Linked DNA regions of Arabidopsis thaliana. The protein of the gene in region 2 purifies or fractionates together with the protein of the main gene of each other region. This does not show direct contact. Each region holds a gene or a part of one and is shown on either strand. Other genes may lie near its edges.

Region 1 (8,177 bases), on a different chromosome or scaffold from region 2:
CCTAAACAAAAACTTTGACAGAATTAGCAGAGTGTTAACGTTTTTTAGGAGGTTTCAGAATACCTCCTATCATTTGATCTTTATCTTGATGCTTGTGTTGCCTAACAGTTTCTTCATTCCTAGGACCAGCCATATTCTTTCTCTTAGATGAATCCCCTTTTTCCATCAAGTGCTCAGACACTGTATTCTCACTTTGCCTTGATGATTCACCAATTTCAACCAGACGAGGTGTATTTGTTGCAAAAGCAGGTCCAGTGAAAGGATGGATGTTTGAGTCTCTTGATGATTCACCATGTTTTGATCTATTGATGGAATTCAATTAATTATTATAAATTTAATTAAATAAGAAAATCATAAAATTAATATTTTCTATTAATCCAATGATCATTTCAGAGAGCCTCACCGTTGAGGATGCTTTTACGTTTGTCAATAGATTAAGACAAAAATTAACGTTCATTATGGTTCATTTTTCAAAAGAGTAAAATTGTCTACCATCAGCATGTAGAACCATCTATTGTTAATCTTTGTGGTACATATAGAACTGACAGTTATAAAGTCGTCGACAAAATCGTTCACCATAAAAAGCTATAGAAATGATTACTTAGTCGTAAAAGTTATATTGATCATTCGTAATAGGATATGATTAGCTCACAGAAGTTGTAGAATGAGTTTATAGTTGTGCAGTAAATATTTTTTGCAAGGAAGGCTAGCAAATACTTTGTGAAGATCTGAATCGCATTTCACACATTTGTAGCACTCATCGTTATTGATAGGAATACAGTATAAATTTTATAAATTAATAAACAAGAAAAATTAATAAATTTTGCTAGTTCCAGATCGGACAAATATAAAAATTAACTAAAATCGATAAAATAATAAGATAATAATTTTTTTAAAAAATCTTATATAAAAATATGGTCCCACTAATATTATAAATTAATAATTGATTTTTGTAACATTTTTTATATGAAAAATCATTGCTAAGATTTGTGATTACGACACTTGAGTTTTCTGACATTTTAGATATACAGGATGCATGTTTGATCAGAAAATAAAATAAAAAAATATAGGACAAACAGAAAATAGTTGTCATTACTAAAACAAGAATTTTTGTGTTTACTAGAACCTCAAAACAAAACATTGAGAAACTGAAACAGAATCATCAGCTTGTTTTTTCAAAGTGAATAACAGAGTTTTTCACTGCCCTTTAGGCCCTCTCTTCTTCTCTGAGCTTATTCTTTTCTTACTCTTTCCCAAAATCCGCGTTATAGTGAGAGCTCGACTCAAGCTTCTTGGCCTCGCTCAGCTTTCTCACAGCCTGTACAACAGACAATTTGATAAGCAGAAAAGTTTGGGTACAAAAAAATATGTAAACATGCGGAGTATTTATTTTTGTTTCTACCTTCATGAAGTCTTCATGTATTACATAGTCACGCTCTGCTCTGATTGCGAACATTCCAGCTTCAGTGCATATGTTACGCAGATCGGCACCATTGAAACCCTAAGGATGTTGATTGAATGGAACAATCAGTGGGATCTATAATATATAACAAAGGCAAAAACTACAACGCAGTGACATTTAAGAAAAACAAACAAACCTCTCCAAGTTTCACGATAGCCTCATAGTCTATTTCTCCATGCTTGGCAATGCCAGATGCGTGGATCTTGAGGATTTCCATTCTTGATTGTTCATTTGGCAACGGGATCTCGATCTTTCTATCTAACCTACCCGGACGGAGAAGTGCTGGATCAAGAACATCCGGCCTGTTGGTGGCCATTATCATTTTCACCTAATAGTATTATCTCCCAAGTATCAGAAGATATTCCATTGTACAAATAATTTTGGGAAACAGATAAATTTAACAATGAAAGTAACCACTTGAAACATGAGTTATAAAACAAAACTACCTTGAACTAAGTTATCCCCAACAAGCAAGTTTCACACCGTAACCACTCAGTTTTATGCACGAGTACTATTCTAAAACTATAGGTCATACCTTTCCAAGTTGGTCAAACCCATCAAGCTGGTTAAGTAACTCCATAAGTGTTCTTTGAATTTCACGATCAGCACTAGTTCCTTCACTAAAACGGCGTCCACCAATAGCATCGATTTCATCCATGAAAATGATACAAGGCTAGCCCCCAAGAAGGAGTGTTAAGAGACAATTCATGAACTTCAATATAAAGCATATCAAGGTATAAGACAAGAGGAAAGAGATGGTATTCTACCTGATGTTCACGAGCATAGTTAAACATTTCTCGAATCAACCTAGCACTTTCTCCAATGTATTTGTCTATGATTGCACTAGATACAACCTAAACATAAAGGTAAAAAAAGAGCTTATTTAGCACAGACAAGGTATAATAAAAAGAACACCAAACCAAACCTTCAACAACAAAATCAAACCTTCAAGAAGTTGGCGTCGATATTGCTGGCAATAGCCCTAGCTAGTAGAGTTTTTCCAGTACCCGGAGGTCCATACAGAAGGACACCCTGGAATGAGAGAAATGAAAATTAGCATTATGGAAATTGAAGTGCGTTTCAACTCTTTTTAGCCATTCATGCAGGTAACCACGGCACAGGGAAACATAAAAAGTGAATCATGAGATAGTTTGTGAAAACAAAAGAAAGGACTGGAGAGAGATCAAGTACCTTAGGAGGTTTAATCCCAACTCTAAGGAAAAGTTCAGGATTCATGAGAGGCAGCTCAATAGATTCCCTAAGTTCTCTGATCTGATCACCTAAACCACCCACAGCTGAGTAACTAATGTTGCCTGGATCTTCATGCAACATGTTATAAACAACAGGATCAACCTACCAACACATACCATCGAATTAAAACCAGTACAAATACACTAAGCAGCTACAAAAAAAAAAAGCAAAAATACTGAAATCAAGCATACTTCACGAGGAAGGGCTCGCATAATTGTCAGCGTAGTCATATCCAGGACAACTCGAGTTCCAGAAGTAAGCTTTTCCTTGTCCACCTTGCTACGACAACCCACCACATAACGAGGGCCACTACTTGCCTTAACAATCACTAAAAAGAAGAAGAAAAAATTCCACCTTTAGATGATAGAAAACACAAAGTGTAGTATTCAATCAAAAACATAAGGTAGCAAGATAGAAAATTACATCGCTCGTTATCAAGAGGACGTAGTACTTCTCCAATAATCTGGCCAACGCTTTGAAGAGACTTCAAATCATCCTCAGTTTTGTTGAATTCCTTCTTAGCTGCTCTTAAATTCTCCCTAGCTGCATATAACCACAAGACCCAGTTTATAAGAACTATAACAAGTGAAATTAAGCTTGAGATCGACTTCAAAATTGACTAATCAAGTGAAACAAACGGTGGAACCAATTCAATTCGAAACTCCAAAACCCCTAAAATCGCGTCACTAATTGAAGTAAAGTCTCGAGATTTCTAATGGGAACGAAGAGTAGGAAAAAACCCTAGATTCGATTTTGACCCACAAACTAAACCCAGAAAACGAAAGAGGAGAATGAGGAAGATTTTGAAATCGAACCTGTTCGGACACGGGATTCGAGCTCCTTGTGATGAAGGAGCTTCTTCCGGTAATCAGTCACCGCCGCGGTACGGCGTCTAGCAGCGTCGTCTCCGTCGCTCATCTTTTACAGATCTCAGAATTTGACACTGAAGCAATTTATCAACTTTTTTTCTGTTTTAAAGTAATTTTGTTTTCTTGAGGAATGGGTTAAGTTAGCTATGAATTAAGGGCTTTTGGGGCTATTTGGGTCCGGCTGGGTGGATCCGTTATCATTCACTTCATCAGCTTCTGTTCAATTCCAAAAATTAAAATAAAGAATAAAAAATTAATTAAAGAAACCTATCTTCTTAAGATTAAAAAATACGTCCAGAAATATTTTAATTTGTAGAAACAAGAAATAAAAACTTTATTGCAATTTGTTCTGCCTAAATTCTGATTTTTTGAAAATTTTAATTATTTTTAATTTTTAATTTTTAGTTTTTTGAAAAAGATTTGGTGGTACAATCAGCTTGAAGCATTGGAGACTTATACACTCACATTAGCCTTATCCATTATATATATGATTTATCATATGTATTATTCAATTCTGATATATAATAGTATTGTTTTTTTTCTCCGGCACATTCTCAAATACATAACTGCTCTTTTAAAAAAAAAAAAAAGTCGAGACTATTTTCTTCTAGAGCGTCTACATAAGATTTTAAACAACCAATGGCGGTTTGCCATCTCAATGGAAGGTTGTAGAGCCTACAAAATTGAATCATGCGATATGTAGGGGCGTGATTCTGATGAGATCGTTGGTTGCATTGGTCAGGTTGAACATAAAGGCTGTCTATATATATATATATATATATATATTTATTTATTGTTAAGAGTTTATAAATTTTATGTGGCACAATTGGTTAGGTAAGGTTTTATATCTTCTAGAGGTCCTGAGTTCAAAACACTCTTGAAACATTCCTTTTTATTTTAAAATATCCAAAACGACGTAGTTTATATTGCGGCTCACTTTTCAAGTTGGTAGTATTGACCTGCATTTTTTTTTAATTGAAGGGTTAAAAAAAAATTGTATTGTAGGATTTTTTGCACAAAAACCATATTTTTCTACATATTGCATAGTTTAAAATTTTAAAATTAGATGTAAATTTGTGAAATGGTGAATAGTATGTGTAAGTAAAAATATGTTGTACTATTTAGGATGTATAGGAATAGAACAAGAATATATTGTACTATTTTTCATAACTCATTCATAAATCAATTTTAATTTAATATACTAAATGCTAAACCAAAAAAACTTATACCCAAACCATAATTATATGTGTAAAACTTGTATAAACTCAAAAATTGAAAATGATGTATATTTTCAAATGAAAAACGGTATATAGAATAGAATAAATAGTATAGGACAAAGTGTTCTAGATAAAAAAAAAAGAAAAAGTTATTAACTATTCAAAAATTGGTGATAGTGGTGGTGACGGACTGACGATGGTGGTGGTAGTGGTAACGACGTGCTGGTTGTTTTGATAGTGGTGATGGTGATTGCGGTGGTGATGGTTACGGTGGTCGGGGTAGTAGCAATATGGTAATAATGATCGTGATTAAGGTGGTTGCGGTGGTGTAGCAGTTTCGGTGGTGATGATGGTGATGGTTGTAGTAGTGACAGCGCTATGGTTGTTGGTATGGTGGCGACAGTTGCAGTGGTAGTGCTGGTGACGACATGGCGATGGTGGTTGCGAATTGCGATGATGGTGATGGTTGCAGCGCATGGTGGTGATGGTAATTATAGTGTACTAGAGTAATGACTAAAAAACAAGAAAAAATAAGGGTATTTTAGTTTATATTGTAGTTTATACACAGAATATCATACCTCTTTTGTTTCTTAATTATAATTTATTTGTTGGTTAGTTTTACAAATTTCACTTAATGTTTTTTTACTCCAAAAAACACCTACGGGTTTTCTATTTATTAGGCATATATTGTCTTATTTAGTACTAGAATAATAATGGCTATGTCTTGTCTTCACACACGAGAGATTAAGGTTGAGAATATATTGTCTTGTTGTTAGCGTAAACTAAAATATATTGTCCTCACACGCAAGAGATTAAGGTTGAGAATATATTGCATTGTTGTTAGCCTAAACTAAAATGGATGAAACCAATTTCTACCAAATTCATTTTTAGCCATTTAAAGTACATGGAAAACAAGTATTCAAGCTAAATTTCTCTTAAAAAGGATAAAGTAAGACAATTTTTCTTTCTATCTTTTATTAGTTGAAATTTTTGGACCACTTTTCTATTTTTTTCTTAACTTTTTCAGTTTTTCATTTTCTATTTTTTTTTTAGTTCTCACTTCCCACCAATCACACCTTTAAGATTCAATGTTGATTTTAGCGCCTAAAATTTGGATTCTTATTGAACAATTCAAAAATTACAAAAATAATTTTTTTCTTGGATTTAATGAGTTTATTTCTAATTGAAAAAGAAAGAAAAAGAGAATTAGTTTTTAACAGGTTAAATAGTTTTTAAACTAAACATATTGCAAAACTTTCATTTGCAAGGATCAAAGATTTTTTTTTTTTTAATTATTTTGATCTGTATTATATTGGACAAATCCAAATTTATATATATATATATATATATATATATATATATTTATTTAATTTGTCAAAATCTACTTCTCTCTCTCCACCCTCATGGCTCTAAGACCATACATTAAATACAACTTTAGTCTTTATACTATTTTCAGAAAGATACAAACAAAAACTATCTATAAACAAGAAAAGATAAAACAAAGTTACAATCATCTACCAATTTGTTTTAGTTAAGACATTTATTTCACTTGCACATGCATAATTGTTTCTTTGACTGCTAAGAAATTTTCATTAGTTTATGACTTTATGCATGTGAAAAGATGACCATAATAATCTTTCAAATGGAATGCTCTTGAAACTAATACAACGCAATTAAGAATTGCTCTTTGTAGATAATTAAACCAAACTTCACTGAATTATAGCTTCAATTCACATTGCACTGAACTGTTTAGATTGATCTCAAAATTAAGTTTTTTTCCTAACTATTGTCGTTTATTGAATACAATTATTTAAAAGGTAAATTGATTTAGTTGTTTTGCTTGTATAAAAGACCACCATACCTCTCTCCTCTTTCCTCAGTTCACATAATCTAAATTCTAAAGAGAGACGAAAGAAAGAAAAAAAAAAACTTTCAAAAATGTTGGTTAAAGTTTTTTTCTTTTTCGATCTTGATGATAACAACGGTTATTGGCGTTAGCAAAGAATGAGATGAACAGTCATGTCAAAACCTTTTGTTGGACCTTAAGACGATTTCCGCACCACTCTCGGAGATGAGACGTCGTGAGTTATTGATCATCGTTTTGAAAAATTCCGTGCGGAGGATCGACATGGCTATGATTGGTGTGATGGAAGATTCAAAACTACATGAGGACATGGAGAATGATATGCTTGGTGTGAAGGAGGATACAAATCTATTTGAGGAGATGATGGAGTGGCAGAAAATAGAATGATCCGTTCAGTGAATGAAATCTTAGGAGGAGAATTCCCTAATCTTAGATCTTGAAACGTCCACACTTGGCTCCAGTGGCGTTCTTACTAGCTACATCACATATATCGACGAAATTGGTGAATGTATAAACGTCGGGTCGATCCTGAGCTTGAGGACCTCACTTCTAGGGCAAGAGAAGCTTTAGCCCTTTTTATCTCTATTTCGCTGAGAGACAACACCGAACTTAACTTGGTGGTTCCCAATGGCCCGTCTTGGTTATCTCACGTTGACAAGAAAGATCTATATCTCAATGATGAGGTGATAAAACAAAAACCTAATATTTTTCAGTTATAATTTGATAATCGTATAGTTAGATTTCTATCTATAAACTGGTAACCTTTAAAATACACCAATCTTTCAGGAAAAAACGTAAATATATATACACTTTGTGTAATAGATTCACTAAACTAATTTGATTATGGAAAAAATTAAATTATGTTCATTTTATTTTTGGATGTTTGTTCTTCTAAAGCTTGATTAATATTTTTTGGAGCTATTAGAGGTAATTTCTCTAAAAACATTACATTAAATTTTCTTATTAAAAACGTTGTTACTTGCGCATCATAATCACAAAAAGCTCATCATATCTTTATATAAAAACTTAACCAAAAAGATATCAAAACTCAAGATGGACCAAGAAAATAATAACCCAAAAATCTAAAGCCCAATGTTTCTGATAAAAACAATCATAGTTGGGCATCATGATCACAAAAGGCTCACTATAATTTATGAATAACCATAAACCCCAAAAACCAATATGGTCCCAGAAATTAAGCAACAATGGAGAAACAATTCCCCCTTTTTTTTTCTTTCTAATGCGCATAGAATTTCTTATGTTTCTTATAAATCAGACTCTAAAGAAAATTACCGATATTCTGGTCGCGAAGGATGTGACCGGAAATTACAATATAGTGAATGTGGCCATTGCAGCGGCACCTCAACACAGCCAAAAGAGATTCGTCATTTATATTAAGACAAGCATCTATGTTGAAATCGTTGTCATTGGGAATATGAAATCCAATTTAACTCTTATCGCTGATGGTCAAGATTCAACCATCATCACATTCAATTTAAGCTCTAGCAATAGTA
Region 2 (8,177 bases):
TGTATAGCTTCGGGGTTGTGTTGTTCGAGTTATTGACTTGTAAGAAGGCGATTGATTTTAATCGTGAGGAGGAAGATGTGAATTTGGTGGTGTTTGTGAGGAAGGCTTTGAAGGAAGGGAGATTGATGGATGTGATTGATCCGGTGATTGGGATAGGAGCGACGGAGAAGGAGATTGAGTCTATGAAGGCGCTTGGAGTTTTGGCGGAGTTGTGTGTGAAAGAGACGAGACAATGTCGACCAACTATGCAAGTTGCTGCAAAGGAGATCGAAAACATTTTACACGGAATTTAAATGTTTGTTGAAACGACGTTTTTGTGTTGTCGTTTAAGAATCTGTAAATAAATAATTTTGGAAGAGAATTTAGAGATGTTTCACTCTTCTTTGTACTAAACAGCAATGTTATTTGCGAATACCCGTTGCAACTTGTGCATTTGATTCGTAACTATTCGGAACAAAAAGATCGGAAAAAAGCTAGCGATAAAATGATGTGATCCTAGGTATAAGATGTTTCACCGATTGGAATTACTCTTCTTTGCACTAAACAGCAATGTTATTTGCGAATATCCCGTTGAAACTTGCACTAGATGATCGAATTCGGAAGACTCAATGACTAAAGCATCAATCATTGTGAACAAGGTAGTAGTAACTTTGTTTTTAAGTTCTAAGTAAGGTGTAGTGGTTAAGAGAGAAATGCCAATATGCAGCAGTAGCACTTGATTGCAAGAAACATTGATAGATTCGATTAGAAGCAGATTGTTAACGTCATCAAAAGCTACAAAGATGTCTCAACATTCCAAGAAGAAGAAAAAGTTGGGAGTTCTTTGCGAAACTAACTAAACCGAGGCTAAGATCCAAAATGTGACATGAGAAGAAACAGCAATCTGGATCCAAGTGACGAAAGAAAGCGCTACAGCTACTTCATACCTAAGACATGGATATTGGCTTTGAGTATTGCAATACTTGATATCTTTTTCATACAAGACTACAACTCCTGCTGATGAACATGCAGCTGCAAGAGATAACATTGCCGTCACCTGCAAAACAAGAAAAACAATTCTCAATCCTTTAAAAAATCATATCAAGAACACTGAATTTAATGTAGCAAAGCCATAAAAATGTGGTGTTGCATACCCAATCACCAACGACGAATAAGCTAACCAAGATAGGGTTTTGGAGATCTTTCTTTCCCCTGAGAGCATAAACATCAAGACATGCTAGCCCAAAGCTCCACAACAATTGAAGACCCATTGACGCAATCAAGTAGCTGAAACCAACCCCAAAATCATAATCAACATCAACGAGACTTGTACTACTACTAATAAACACCAAAATTGCTTGCAGAAATTCCACTACCATTTCTACTAAATCCGACAACTAAACGAACAAAACAAGGTTAAAGGAAACAAATCAAAACTTGAAGAAAGCGAAACCGTACCAAAAAGCAGTGTGAACAGAGAACTCTTTAGCAGAGACCATAACGCCGATTGAAGCAGCAGCTGAAGCACATTGTCCGATTCTCAGTAACAGACCACACACAGTTCCCGGACCTCCTAAAAGCTTCTTCATTTCAATCAATAACGACTCCAATTTCTCTTCCCAAACCCAGAAATTCCGACAAAATCAGCGAGGAAAGAGGAACAAAATCGAACAAAACCCTAGTTCAGCAAGTAAAAAGCTACATTTGCTTCAGGAGAAATTTTGGCGGGGAAAAAAAGAAATTGCAGAGGAAATTCATAGCTAAGAATAACCCTATAAGAGGATTTTGTCACCTACAAACAGAATTTCCCGAAACGGCTTAGATTCGATTATAAGCTAAGCTTCTTCCTTGTTTCTCCTTTGACATTCTCTTTTTCTTGCTTTGCTTTTTAGTGGACTGAGATAAGTGAGATAAGCATCCTACGTGGCAGCACAAACTAACTTTTTTTTTTTTTTTTTGTCTTTTTTTTTTTTTAGCGATTGTATTTGGTCGTTAAGAATCTGAAGTATTATTTGTTGTATTTTTGAGTTCTAAAAATGTGTATGCAAATGCAATGCCTTTTTGCCTGTCTCTATGTGGCTATTAGACCATTACATAAGTTTTCGTAGTAACTCGTAAAATTGATCAAAATTGCAACAAAACAGAGTTAAATTGAGTTCCAACACAAGTTAAGTGTTTGTGCTTATGGATCAAATATCATCATCTTATCAAGTCTTTACAAACAGTGGAATCATCATCTCAATAACTCCACTGTAATTAGACCTATCTTAAGCTACCCTACATTGTACCAAAACCTGTTCTTAATAGCTCAGTGCTGATAAAAGATCCGATACCAACACTGTAACAAATCCATCGCTAGTCAAATCTACTCACAAGAACTGAAAGAGATGGATCTCTAGAAGATATAGTAAGCCAATATATTATTTCTGGGAACGCGGCTTGACTCAGCTTGTCATTTCTTCCTTTACTACACTTTTAAGTTTACCCTCCTTATGTGGATTTTTTCTTTGTGCTTGAATGTGATGCACAAATGCAGCTACTATAACATGGAGCTTTGGGGGAGGCTTGCTTGTTGAAGAGACATTGTGACCAGCATCTTTTAAAGCTTTGGCAACATTCTTCTGTGCTTTCTGGTAGTGCACGTTACACAGTACAGGAACAGTCGATGCTAGTGTTGGTTTTCCACAAAGTAATGGTCCTGCTGGAGATCTGAATGTACAAAGCAAACAAATGCAGAGTTAGTAGAGAACCGCTCAAATAATCATCATGTGCTAATTACAAACCAGCATGAAAAAGTACATATCTATGAAATCTGGATTGTAACAAACCGAATCTGATAATAACAGTGTATCAATCTGAAACCAGGTTAATGTTGTATTCCAAGTCACTTACATTTTCAAAGAGCTCATCTCAATGTTCAGTTGGAACACATTTTCAAAGATGACATAATAATGCTAATAATACTCATAACCCTACCTCGTTTGCAAAGATACCTTAATAGAGACATCTTTGTCACTTATGTATATCAACGCAGCACATCAATCAAGGTTATGAAACAAGTCAAAGTACCGAATCTATATACGGTTACCAAAGCTAAAATTTTCTCCCAATCCCTACGGAAATCTTTGAAACAGAGCAAAGTCTCAATCCTAAAACCTTTCCGCAGGCTCAAAGAAGAAAGAAACTATTTCTTGGCACAAACATTGCTTTGCAGTTTCAATTCATCATCACTACAACATCTTAAACCGACTATACAATATAAAAGAACACAACTTGAAGCAAACCTGTTGATGACGTTTGTGCAACCAGTGTAGAGCTTCTGCTTACTATCCTTGAGAATATGCAATTGACAGTATTTGGTAAGCGCCATAGCTTTAGCTTTGCATCCATACATACAGAACCCGGAATTGCTGTTTGCATACTGATCACCATCATTACCCTTATCTCCACTACCTTCTGGATCAAGCCTCCGTCTCTTATTCGATTGATTTTGTTCGTCTTTAAACTGACTAACCCCATACTTACACCAATAATCCCTGTGTTGCGCCTTGAGATCCTCCATTAAAGCCCAATAATGGTTTTTATAACACTTGGCCAGCTGCTTTAGGTTGTCTGCTCGGCGTCGGAGAAGCTCTGGGCGTGTGAGGTGACTAGAGCTTGCGAGGATTTCATCTTCTTGTAACATCGTAATCGGTGAATTCGAGGTCGATGGTAAGACGTTTGTGCTAGGTTTAGGGTTCCGAATTTGGGGTTCAACTGAAGTGGAAGCCACAGCGGTGGAAGATGCAGCGTTGGAGGAAGACGGAGGTCTTGGGGGTTTCAAGGAGAAAGGGTTTTGCTCAGTGTTCTTGGCAGCTGACGCCATTGTCGTCGCCGGAAAATGATGACAGAGAAGATTCAAAATGCGAGATTTTTTTTTCTCTTAATTACTTGATTGAAAACATCCATGGGCCCAAACCAATTATTTAACTATTTTATCAATGTATGGGCCAAATTATTCAACAAATAGGCCCAAAGGAAATTGGATGTGAAACCTGATTTTCTGAATTAGGTCAAGTATAAGTACTAATAGCATCTCTTTCGAGATTACGCCGCTCATTTTTAGGGTTTCAGATATAGGCAGATTCTCACATTTGCAAACATGACGACTCAGATCAGCAAGAAGAGAAAGGTGAATTGTGTGATTCTGTTCATTTTGTTCTTTCAATGGATTTATCGTATTGGAACTGTTTTGGTAACTGTGTTGAGATTTTGATTTTGTAGTTTGTAGCGGACGGTGTGTTCTACGCTGAATTGAATGAGGTTCTTACAAGAGAGCTAGCAGAGGATGGTTACTCTGGTGTTGAGGTTAGGGTTACTCCTATGAGGACTGAGATTATCATCAGAGCTACACGTACTCAGAATGTTCTCGGTATGTTTTTGATCTTCGAGCTTAATCATTTCTTCTATTATACGGTAGTGACTGTAAAATTTGATTGTATTTCAGGTGAGAAGGGGAGGAGAATTAGGGAATTGACTTCCCTTGTTCAGAAGAGATTCAAGTTTCCAGTTGACAGTGTTGAGCTTTATGCCGAGAAGGTTAACAACAGAGGTCTCTGTGCCATCGCTCAGGCTGAGTCTTTACGTTACAAGCTTCTTGGTGGTCTCGCTGTTCGTAGGTACGACATTTCTCTAGTTCGTTTGCTATGTTACTTTGTTTGATCAGTTTAGTTTATCATTAGAGACTGATTTGGATAGGTTACTAGTGTATATAAGCATTCACCGATCGTTATAGTTGTATGTTTAGTATAGAGTAATTGTTCTTATAGACTCTGTATGGTTTCAAATAGGTATTGTCTAGCTTCTAAGTGTAATGACTTTAAGTTCTCATGCAATGGTTATATGTTGTATAGGGCTTGCTATGGTGTGTTGAGGTTTGTTATGGAGAGTGGAGCTAAGGGATGCGAGGTTATCGTGAGTGGAAAGCTTCGTGCTGCCAGAGCCAAGTCTATGAAGTTCAAAGATGGCTACATGGTGTCATCTGGTCAACCAACTAAGGAATACATAGACTCTGCAGTGAGACATGTTTTGCTTAGACAAGTGAGTTTCGTCTGAGTTGTTCTTATTAGAGTTAAGTAAAAAATCAACAACGTCTAATTAAAGTGTTGTTAAACCGAATATGTAGGGTGTGTTGGGAATCAAGGTGAAGGTTATGCTTGATTGGGACCCTAAGGGCATATCAGGACCAAAGACACCATTGCCTGATGTTGTGATCATTCATTCTCCTAAAGAAGAAGAGGCCATCTATGCACCTGCTCAGGTTGCTGCCCCGGCTGCTCTCGTAGCAGATGCACCACTCACAGCCGTAGATTACCCTGCGATGATCCCAGTCGCCTAAAAGAATCCTTTGTACTAGTCGATGTGATTTTGTTTTCAACTGTTCTTGCTCTTTTGACAGATTATAGCTTCTCGTATCTTCGAATCAGACACGTTTCCTCTGTTCTTATTCGAAAATTATCTCAAGTTTCCATTGTTGAAAAAGCCCTTTTTAGTTTCATAAATCATTCTCTCTTTGGCAAATTATTCTGAATTAATTCGTAATATTACAAGACCAGTTTGTCCAAATTTTGGTACATCCATCGAATTAACTAATCGTAATTACTAATTACTAATTACTCTCATCACATGAAATATGAAAACACAAGTATTTGCGTTTAGTTATATCCACGTGTTTGAATACTAACCGTCTGTTGTTATAAAACTCCGACGATTTTCCCGCTCCGTCGACACAAACCTCCTCCGTCTTTCGTAAAAGGTTCTCGAGATCTAAGTCTCACTTCTAAAGCTCTGACAATGGCGGACGAAATCGGATTCTTCCAACTCAACACCGGAGCAAAGATCCCATCGGTTGGTCTCGGGACATGGCAAGCTGCTCCTGGCGTCGTTGGAGACGCCGTCGCCGCCGCTGTGAAGGTTCTTCTGTGATTTTCCGTCTCATGGTTTCTCATTTGACTGATCCTTAGAGATCTTTGATTAGATGTTCTGATCCTTACATAGTTTGGTTTTTCCCTCAATATTGGTTGATCTTGGGATTTACGGATTGATTTGGAAATTCGTTTCAGTAGCAGAAGAACTTAATAATCATTTCGTTTTCTGCAGATTGGATATCAGCATATTGATTGTGCTTCAAGATATGGCAATGAAATTGAGGTAAAATTCACCGATCCGAATCTGTATCTTCCATAGTTTGCTTCATATAGTTCATCTTTTGACGGCTCGTTACTTGATTTGCCTTTATATAGAACAGTATATAGTATGATCGTTCTTACTCGATTGGCTGTTTTATGTAATTCTTACTAAGGTTAACCAATTTATATTTAGGAATGACAATTGCACACATTGTCTTGTGTATCTTTTTCTTAAACTAGCTTTAAGTTATGTAGGATTAATGGAGTTATTTGTTATAGACTGTTTACAAGTTCATTTGAAATGTGGCTTTTTGTTTTTCTTGATGGAGAAATTGAAAGCTTTTTTTAACCTGCAGATTGGGAAAGTTCTGAAGAAGTTGTTTGATGATGGCGTAGTGAAGCGTGAGAAGCTGTTCATCACATCAAAAATCTGGTATTTTGTTCATGAAGTTTCTGCATCTCTATCATTTTTATGCATTTTCAGTTTCCCTCGTTTGCTTAAGCCTCTTAACCTATTAAAATCTACAAATTATGCAAGCACAGGTTGACTGATCTTGACCCTCCGGATGTACAGGACGCATTGAACAGAACTCTTCAGGATCTGCAGCTTGATTATGTTGATTTGTATCTCGTAAGCACGACTTCTTTGAACAAATGCTGATTTTTTAATAAGTTCTAACAGTTTTCAAGATCCGTTCCTTTCTTCAATATCTAGCCTGAATTGTCCGGATCTCTGGATTTGAAACTATACATATGCTTGCTTATACTTTGATTTGTTTCATTTGATATTTTTTTCAAGATGCACTGGCCTGTTCGGTTGAAGAAAGGTACTGTTGACTTTAAGCCTGAGAACATTATGCCTATCGATATTCCGAGCACATGGAAAGCAATGGAAGCACTGGTTGATTCAGGCAAGGCAAGAGCCATTGGCGTAAGTAATTTCTCTACAAAGAAACTCTCAGATCTTGTGGAGGCTGCTCGTGTTCCTCCCGCTGTAAACCAGGTGGAATGTCATCCTTCATGGCAACAACATAAGCTACATGAGTTTTGCAAGTCCAAAGGGATCCACCTCTCAGTAAGTTTTAAAACACTAAACATTTCCAAATCATTTAATGAGTCCGAATGTCATATTTATATACACTTCGTGAATGTTGATTGTGGCAGGGATATTCGCCATTGGGATCTCCTGGAACAACGTGGGTGAAGGCCGATGTTTTAAAGAGTCCGGTTATTGAAATGATTGCTAAAGAAATCGGGAAGTCTCCCGCACAAACCGCGCTTCGATGGGGACTTCAAATGGGTCATAGTATACTTCCCAAAAGCACAAATGAAGGAAGAATCAGAGAGAACTTTGATGTCTTGGGATGGTCTATTCCAAAAGAAATGTTTGACAAGTTTTCCAAGATAGAGCAGGTAAGTGAAACAATAAACCACATTTCTGCAAATTTCGTATCTGTGAGTAGTCTTAACTGTAACCTCTTGTATTTTGGATTTTGAATCATCTCTGTGCAGGCTAGGTTAGTCCAAGGCACGTCGTTTGTTCATGAGACGTTGAGTCCTTATAAAACACTTGAAGAGCTTTGGGATGGTGAGATCTGAATCAAAAGATGTCTTTTGTTGAATTTTAAAGTTGAAAAAGAACAAAGTTCCACTGCTTTAAGCTTTGATCGAGAATGTGTAAACGATTCAATTTTCAATAAAAGTAGGATTTTGCAGACATATTAACAATCTCTTATGTTCATACAGTAAATCACTAATCCGAGAGGTTGATGATAGATAATCTAACAGTTATATTTGAAAGAGAAATATAGACGAGTATTAGACTGTAGATAGAATCTGATTCCATTGGCCTCAAAGCCTAATAATTATCTTTAATAAAGCAGAAAAATCGAAAACATGAATTCGCATAAAGAGAAACTAACATTTTCAATTCAATGACAAAGCCACATAGCTAATAAATCGAAACCTCAAAAAACAAACAAGAGCTTATGACATTGTCAGATTGTCTCTCACTGTTGTTTAGCTTCGACC
Region 3 (8,177 bases), on a different chromosome or scaffold from region 2:
TGGTTGTTCTCCTTTACGAGGTGATCATAACTCCTTTGTGCTGCCGGGGAACAGTAATAAAGGTAAAGAAAAAGCAGATTCTGGCTCTGTTCCTCATAGAGAAACAATTGACCTTTCTAGTGGCAAACCACAGAACAGAGGCACTAAAAGATTGGTGAGACATGGCTGCATTTCTCCACATGAAATAGCAGCTAGAGCTAGACAAGCTGCTGATACCAATTCCTATGACACACTTAGTGTTGAACAGGAACTAGCTTCTGAAACTGCATCTTCGATTGGCATAAGAGAGATTGTTCCTGAAAGTGATATTCACGGAAGAGCTAGAGGCAAAAGACCTGAAATTTCTAGTAGCAGGTAATATTTTTTCCTTATCTTATATTAGATGTTTGAACAGATACCTAAAGGATGATCCCTTCTTCTTTTCTTTTTTTGTGCTATAAGAGTTTCTATTCTTTGTATTAATGCAAATAGGGTGGCGAGTAGAGATGGCTTGGAGGGGTGGGTTAGTACGCGTAACCGAAATTTAAATATGGAACATGAAATGAATCATAGGGATGAGAGTAACACACGCGGAATTTGTAGTTCTGTTACCAGACTTGATGTGCGTGAAACCGGTGTAGTTGAAAGAGAAAGTAGACAACAGCGACGGCGGAAAAATGGATTTACTACTTCAACGGCTTCAAATGAGCCAGAAGTTACTGTTAATAGATCTTCTGGGGAACCATCTAGTTCAAGGCCACCAAGAATCCAGAATCATCTAAGACACTGGCATGGCACACAAGTGTTGGAAATTGAAGATTCATCTCCTGAAGTAAGGGTCTTCCGGGGTCCCAGACGTGTTGAAAATGATGTATCTGATGTGAATATAAGACAAATAGAAGCAGATGAGATACTGGCCCGTGAATTACAAGAACAGCTGTACCGAGAAGAGTCGTTGATCAGACACGAGCAGGTACATTTTCCAAGCTCCCTTTTGTTTGGATATCCTCTATATGTTCCATCCTTTTATCAATCAAGGTTTCCAATGGTCTTATTTCTTCATATGTGGTAACAGATCGATGAAATCATAGCCAGGTCGATGGAACAAGAAGAGAATTCTCTCCGGGCTTCTTCTAGTCGTGCTTCTACTCGTATTACCCGAAGCTCTAATACCGTAAGTCATGGATAAGAAAATTTCCTGTGTTTGCGTCTTTTTTACCTGGTTCTTTCGATTTTCTGTGTTCAGATGCGAGACTAATCTTTATCAAACATGAAAGAGTTCTTTCGTAAACTTGCACTTAAAAAGAATCTGGCTTTAGGGATCATGTTAGTCTCATCCGTTGTTTTAATGCCAATGTATATTAATTACAGATCGCAGCAAATCCACGTGGGAGAAGTCGCCTGGAAGCACGACTGCAACAACATTCTTCAAGGAGGCGATTCAATCCTCCACAGGCTCGTGCTCCTGTTAGAGCACCAGCACGGGGTCGAGGTTATCGTTTAGGCGGTGCATCTGCTTCACTACGTACAGCTCTGAATTTCAGTTTTCCAATTGATATGGGCTTAGACTCGGTACTCTTTTTAACTCCGTTTATATCCTGAATGTTGCCTAATGTTGTTAAGTACCGTAGAATCATCCTTACCCTTTTTAATGTAACAGAGAATGGATATTCTGGAGGAATTAGAGAATGCTATTGGACACTCCATTACCAGTAGTAATCTTCTTCATATGGATCGTGACTTTACTGAGTATGGTATCTTATTGATAGAATTTCGTCATTATCTTACTATGATTCTTCAATATATGAAGCTTGATAGTTCAACCATTTCCGGTGCAGAGATGATTACGAATTGCTGCTAGCTCTTGATGAAAACAACCATCGACATGGCGGTGCTTCTGCTAATCGCATTAACAACTTGCCAGAGTCTACAGTTCAAGTAAGCTAAAGGTTCACTTGTAAAATTCAGCTTTTTCATATCGAAATTTTGTTACTAAAAGCTTCTATTTGATTGCTTATGTGTTAATTTGCAGACTGATAATTTTCAAGAAACTTGTGTTATCTGTCTGGAAACTCCGAAGATTGGAGACACCATACGTCATCTTCCTTGTTTGCACAAATTCCACAAGGATGTAAGGATCTTTACTGATTCAAATGAAAACCCCTTATTAAGAACAGAGATTCGAAAAGTAACCATTGTTTATTTATTGTGCAGTGCATTGATCCATGGCTAGGACGGAGTAAATCATGTCCGGTTTGCAAATCCTCAGTTACTTGACAAGGTTTTCAAATTCATCGGAGAATTTGAAAACTACCATTTTACCCTTCCAAACCGGTCGATCTCTGGAATCATTTTGCGGGTAAGTCAAACATTCTTGGCCATCAAATTTGAACTCATTAAACGGGGTTTTACTACCGTTTACGCGCGAGGGATGATTATCTGTGTATCTCTGTGATTATTTTCTCGGGTTTAAATATATCTAGCTAAGAACTTTTTGTAGATTAAGAAAGTTGATACTACCACTTATTCACTTTAGTTTAAACATATACCTTTTAAAATCAATTTAAATGCACAAGGCTTTGTTTAATCGTTTTATTCACTTTACTTGCACGAAGAAGCAAGATACAATCATATTCAAAGAGTAAAACAAACTAAAGAGAAACGACATACATTTCAGTTATTGTTACATATATAACGAATTAGTTTTCTTAAATGACATGCATTGGATTTTAGCTCCTCATCAATGCACATTACGGTTAAACAAATTCTCAGTGACCTCCGCCGCCAATTCCTCCACCAATTTCTTTACCGGCTCCTCCGCCGATTCCTCCAATGGCTCCACCGTCAACTCCTTTACCTGCTCCACCGTCAAATCCTTTTCCGACTCCTCCCTCAATTCCTTTTCCGATTCCTCCCTCAAATCCTTTGCCGACTCCTCCATCAAATCCTTTTCCGGCTCCACCGTCAACTCCTTTGCCAACTCCTCCATCAAATCCTTTCCCGGCTCCACCGTCAACTCCTTTACCGGCTCCACCGTCAACTCCTTTTCCGAAGCCACCGTCAACTCCTTTACCGGCTCCACCTCCGAATCCTCCTCCACCAAATCCACCGCCTATTCCTCCACCAAAGCCTCCAACACTGCCTCCAATCCAACCGCCACCTGCTCCAAAGCCGCCTCCACCGCTGATACCACCACCACCACCTAAGTCGCCGAATTCTTTTTTAAAGCCCTTCTTGTGGAGGAGAGGATGAGGGTGAGGGTGAGGAAACAAGGGCTTCTCATCACCAAACTCTGCTTCTCCCATAGTAAAATCTGTGACCAAAGCAAACACCAAAACAAACACACGCACTTTACCGGCGATTAGACCCATTGTTAGTGGAAACTTAAAATGTTTGTAGTTAAAATATTAGAAGCTATTGGAAGAGGATGTTTTGATACGAAATTGCTTCTTGCATGAGCAGTATATATATAGACTTAGAGAGAGATCGTGATAGCATAAGCACTTTTCGTCAATGTGCATGGATTCAACCTGTACAACAACTAGGATATAATTGCTGTTGAGTAAAAACAGTTAAAGATGTTTCACCGGTCACTGGACAAGTTTTATGTTTCATTGTCTGCCCAACTGCCATATTGATCTCATCCAACACAAAGAGAAAAATATGATGCAAATATAGTTGAAAAATTGAAGAACATATGACACCAATTATTATATACAGTTCCTTGAATTATATTAATCATACATTCATATCAATTATATTAAAATTTAATTTGAAGGTTGTCCAGGTTTCAGAGGGCAATAACTAAAAATGAAAATGTTTCTGCATGTCTATTCATAATTTCATATTAAGTGAAAACTCGTATGGTCTAAGAGAAAATATTTACTAGAAAATAATTCTGACTTGATAAAAGATGTAGTCGCTTTATAGGTTGGAGGACAGGCCATGTCAATCTATGGAATATTGAACTATCTATATAAACCCTAAAATGTGATTTCATTTATTTGTGAGCTTTAGCTTTTTAGGTGTCATCAATCAATGATGTAAACTAGAAACTCATATGCTATACTTCCAAACAAACCAATAAAGTTTTTATTATGGGCCGCTAGATTGGTCCATTAACACTATAAGATATATAGTCTGGCCCATCATTAGACCCAATTTTGTATTCCGACTTTATGATTTTGTTTGGATCCATCATATATATTTGGGGTGAAAGTGTAATCTTATTAAACATTTAGGGGTATTGGTAAAAATTACTTGACTTGTTGGGTAAGTATCTTAATATTCGATAAGTCTAGAATTTCGATTTTGATTAGACTTGTGAAAAAGTGAACTCAGAAATTGTGCTCGCCCAAAGTAGTTCGGTTCTTGTGTTCCTCCGTCTGATCAACTCTTCTTCTCCACCTCTAGGTTTCTAATTTTCCGATTAGGATAATGGCCGCCGCCATGGTTAGTTCCGCCGGTGGGTTACTGGCAATGCTCAACGAACCCCATCCTTCCTTGAAACTTCACGCTCTCTCATATCTCATCAGATTGGTTGACCAATTTTGGCCCGAGATCTCCACTAGTGTCCCAATCATGTATTCAATTCTCTCTTCTCTTTTTTTTAATTGTTTCCCTTCGTGAGGCTATTCTGTTTGCTTACTGGGAGTAAAGCTTATGGGATTTGGATGAGTTTTAGCACTCTTGATATTTCTTAGTTAGGGTATTACATTCCAAGTTTTTCCACTCTTGTGTCGAGTTAGATTTGAATGCGTTAATTCACAAGTGACAAACTTTATTGAATTGCTTTACTTAATTCTGTTGATTCTGAATAGAACCATTGTTATCTGGGCTAAGGACGCTCCCTTACCGTCATGATGCGGAAAATTTGTTCTTTTGAAAGTTGTAGAGACTCTACTTTTGCTTGAGATCTTAAACTGTTTTTGTGCTATTCTGAGACCTTTTTTTGATTTTTTTGTAGAGAGAGCTTATACGAAGATGAAGAGTTTGATCAGCATCAAAGACAGCTTGCTGCCTTGTTGGCCTCCAAGGTACAGTTTATCTTTTTATTTAACTTACATGATGACTGGTTTTATATAAATTGTTAGTGGAGATACGAGTGCCAGTTAAACGGATACCTTAAAAGCTGGTAGATTGCTACAGAAGTTCAGAGCTTGAATTTCCTGTAATCAAGTTATGTTATTGTATTATAAGACTTGTTTTCTAACGTTTATGTTAATCTTGTTTTATCTCAGGTTTTCTATTACTTGGGTGAGCTTAACGATTCCTTGTCCTATGCCCTTGGAGCTGGATCCTTGTTTGATGTGTCAGAGGATTCTGATTATATTCATACTCTTCTATGTAAGGATTTTGAAGTTTGCTACTTTCTTCTCTTCTACTTTTTTTATCCAATTCTGTGACAGTAGACACTAGCTCGGTTATCATTCTTAATAGGCGTAAATTCAAAATCATTCCAACCTGATTAAATGGAAGATTAAGAAAATAGTTTATACGATATATTTTCTAACTAATAAGACTTGAACGTCCATCTTTCTTTTAATAAGATTGTGCTGCTAGAAAGTTACGCAAAGACATGATAAGATAGTGATCTTACAGTTACTAACTGTTTAATGTTGAATGTTTTACTCATGGATGCTTCTGTTTTCCTTATCAGCCAAAGCAATAGATGAGTATGCTATTCTCAGATCAAAGGCAGTCGAGTCAAGTGAGGTGGTGGAAATTGACCCGAGATTGGTGGCCATTGTTGAACGAATGCTAGACAAGTATGGGATGCAGAATTTATTTATTTATGTCTGTCTACAAGTTTTTCGTTTTTCCTTACATGGTTTTCTGTTTTATAGATGTATCACTGACGGAAAGTATCAACAAGCCATGGGCATTGCTATAGAATGCCGGAGATTGGATAAGTTGGAGGAAGCGATCATAAAGAGTGAGAATGTGCAGGGAACATTATCTTACTGCATCAATGTTTCCCACTCTTTTGTTAATCAAAGAGAATATAGACATGAGGTGAGTCTGGTGGCCACAAAACTGGATTTTAATAGATGTATTATGTTAATGATACTATGAGCTCATCTTCTTTATTCTTTTCTTACAAATATAATGGTTATAATTCATTGCATTCTTTATGTCAACTCAAAACATTTTTGTAGGGGCTGTTAATTTGTAAATGATAACATCCTTACTTCGTTCTTGCAGGTTCTTCGGTTACTTGTTAATGTTTACCAGAAGCTGGCTTCTCCTGATTATTTGAGCATTTGCCAATGCCTTATGTTCTTGGATGAACCACAAGGCGTTGCAAGCATATTGGAGAAGCTTCTTCGTTCAGAGAACAAAGATGATGCTTTATTGGCTTTCCAAATCTCTTTCGATCTTGTACAGAATGAGCACCAGGCATTCCTCATGAGTGTTAGAGATCGCCTTCCAGCGCCCAAGACCCGTCCTGTAGAAGCAATTCAAGCTGTTGAAACCTCTACTGCTCAGAATGAGAACACTGCAGGGGATGTTCAGATGGCGGATGAAACTCCATCTCAGACAATTGTGCATGAAACAGATCCTGTTGACGCTGTGTACGCTGAGAGGTTAACAAAGGCTAAGGGGATTTTATCTGGAGAGACATCAATACAACTGACACTCCAGTTTCTTTACAGCCATAACAAGTGAGGCAGTTTATTTACCTTTTTTGATATCTCGAAGGATATTTCATTCTTAAGTCGTTTCTTCCACATAGTAAAATTTACAGCAATGGCCATTGTTTCTTTGTAGATCGGACCTGCTGATCCTGAAGACAATCAAACAATCTGTTGAGATGCGGAACAGTGTATGTCACAGTGCTACAATTTATGCTAATGCTATAATGCATGCTGGAACGACAGTTGACACTTTTCTCAGGGAGAATTTGGTAAAATTTATTTTCTCTACCACTTTTTAACTTGTTTCAACGTCAACTATGTGGCATATTATTTAATCTTCTTTTCTTTTCCATTCATGTTTGAATTGTCAGGATTGGCTAAGCAGGGCCACCAATTGGGCCAAGTTTAGTGCTACAGCAGGATTAGGTGTTATTCATAGGGGTCACTTGCAACAGGGCAGGTCACTGATGGCCCCATACTTGCCTCAGGGCGGAGCAGGTGGTGGCGGGAGTCCTTATTCCGAAGGGGGTGCTTTATATGCTCTCGGCCTTATTCATGCAAACCATGGTGAGGGAATCAAGCAATTTCTTCGTGATAGTCTACGCAGCACTAGTGTTGAGGTGATTTGCTATATCTTTCTTCTGGATAGTCTTCCGTTATATCACCAAAAAGATAGTCTTTTGTTTAGAATGATTTTCATTAAAAAAATATGGTTGCAGGTTATTCAACACGGAGCTTGTTTAGGTCTTGGTTTGGCTGCTCTTGGGACAGCTGATGAAGACATATATGATGATATCAAAAGTGTGCTTTACACTGACAGTGCTGTTGCTGGTGAAGCTGCCGGCATAAGCATGGGTCTATTGTTGGTTGGAACAGCAACTGATAAGGCAAGTGAGATGCTCGCTTATGCTCACGAGACTCAGCATGAGAAGATAATAAGGTAACTAAAGTCTGGAATATATTTTTGGCTATGTGTGTGGGTGCATGGTAATTTATTTCAATGTTTTAAGTAACCAACATCTGGTTTTGTGTTTAGGGGATTGGCTCTAGGAATAGCTCTCACAGTATATGGAAGAGAAGAGGGAGCAGATACTTTGATTGAGCAGATGACTAGAGATCAGGATCCTATCATCCGTTATGGTGGAATGTATGCACTCGCATTGGCTTACAGTGGAACTGCAAACAACAAAGCCATCCGCCAACTTCTTCACTTTGCTGTGTCTGATGTCAGTGACGATGTTAGGAGGACTGCTGTTCTTGCACTTGGATTTGTCTTATACTCTGATCCAGAGCAGGTAACTCCATATTCTTTTTGTCTCATTAACTTCTTGACACTATATTCCATTTCTTTAGTGCCTTTAGGGCTCTTGTGCTCGCTTACAGTCATTAACTGGTGGCTCAATATTTAAACTGTAGACTCCCCGTATTGTATCCCTTCTTTCCGAGTCGTACAATCCACATGTCCGCTATGGCGCAGCTCTTGCAGTTGGCATCTCTTGTGCAGGCACTGGTCTGAGTGAGGCGATATCTTTGTTGGAGCCACTTACATCAGATGTTGTA

The links.
Region 1: the proteins of AT3G53870 (region 2) and AT1G45000 fractionate together in Arabidopsis thaliana (co-fractionation; one large-scale study listed by BioGRID). This does not show direct contact.
Region 3: the proteins of AT3G53870 (region 2) and AT1G04810 fractionate together in Arabidopsis thaliana (co-fractionation; one large-scale study listed by BioGRID). This does not show direct contact.

The regions. Positions count from the first base shown.
Region 1 is NC_003070.9:17,004,674-17,012,850, reverse strand, and holds AT1G45000 (AAA-type ATPase family protein), read right to left. Parts: upstream 3,801-8,177; 5' UTR 3,632-3,800; coding exon 3,529-3,631; intron 3,257-3,528; coding exon 3,137-3,256; intron 3,042-3,136; coding exon 2,905-3,041; intron 2,816-2,904; coding exon 2,654-2,815; intron 2,495-2,653; coding exon 2,408-2,494; intron 2,317-2,407; coding exon 2,230-2,316; intron 2,136-2,229; coding exon 1,998-2,135; intron 1,791-1,997; coding exon 1,599-1,790; intron 1,502-1,598; coding exon 1,403-1,501; intron 1,319-1,402; coding exon 1,244-1,318; 3' UTR 922-1,243; downstream 1-921. Other genes in the region: AT1G44990 (uncharacterized protein), read left to right, coding at 5,043-5,092, 5,135-5,309; PME7 (pectin methylesterase 7), read left to right, coding at 6,928-6,993, 7,203-7,346, 7,940-8,177. UniProt on the Arabidopsis thaliana protein: The 26S proteasome is involved in the ATP-dependent degradation of ubiquitinated proteins. The regulatory (or ATPase) complex confers ATP dependency and substrate specificity to the 26S complex.
Region 2 is NC_003074.8:19,947,427-19,955,603, forward strand, and holds AT3G53870 (Ribosomal protein S3 family protein), read left to right. Parts: upstream 1-3,997; 5' UTR 3,998-4,120; coding exon 4,121-4,150; intron 4,151-4,242; coding exon 4,243-4,390; intron 4,391-4,465; coding exon 4,466-4,637; intron 4,638-4,871; coding exon 4,872-5,058; intron 5,059-5,143; coding exon 5,144-5,356; 3' UTR 5,357-5,592; downstream 5,593-8,177. Other genes in the region: AT3G53840 (Protein kinase superfamily protein), read left to right, coding at 1-293; AT3G53850 (Uncharacterized protein family (UPF0497)), read right to left, coding at 836-1,036, 1,134-1,266, 1,438-1,568; AT3G53860 (INO80 complex subunit D-like protein), read right to left, coding at 2,424-2,688, 3,264-3,844; AKR4C11 (NAD(P)-linked oxidoreductase superfamily protein), read left to right, coding at 5,812-5,931, 6,118-6,168, 6,503-6,579, 6,690-6,777, 6,946-7,221, 7,311-7,559, 7,659-7,745; AT3G53890 (Ribosomal protein S21e), read right to left, coding at 8,156-8,177.
Region 3 is NC_003070.9:1,345,888-1,354,064, forward strand, and holds the start of AT1G04810 (26S proteasome regulatory complex, non-ATPase subcomplex, Rpn2/Psmd1 subunit), read left to right. Parts: upstream 1-4,192; 5' UTR 4,193-4,416; coding exon 4,417-4,562; intron 4,563-4,945; coding exon 4,946-5,015; intron 5,016-5,219; coding exon 5,220-5,325; intron 5,326-5,638; coding exon 5,639-5,747; intron 5,748-5,825; coding exon 5,826-5,994; intron 5,995-6,183; coding exon 6,184-6,644; intron 6,645-6,750; coding exon 6,751-6,886; intron 6,887-6,988; coding exon 6,989-7,237; intron 7,238-7,336; coding exon 7,337-7,557; intron 7,558-7,653; coding exon 7,654-7,912; intron 7,913-8,033; coding exon 8,034-8,177. Other genes in the region: AT1G04790 (RING/U-box superfamily protein), read left to right, coding at 1-354, 472-952, 1,055-1,153, 1,351-1,551, 1,640-1,728, 1,818-1,917, 2,012-2,110, 2,194-2,256; AT1G04800 (glycine-rich protein), read right to left, coding at 2,748-3,350. UniProt on the Arabidopsis thaliana protein: Acts as a regulatory subunit of the 26 proteasome which is involved in the ATP-dependent degradation of ubiquitinated proteins.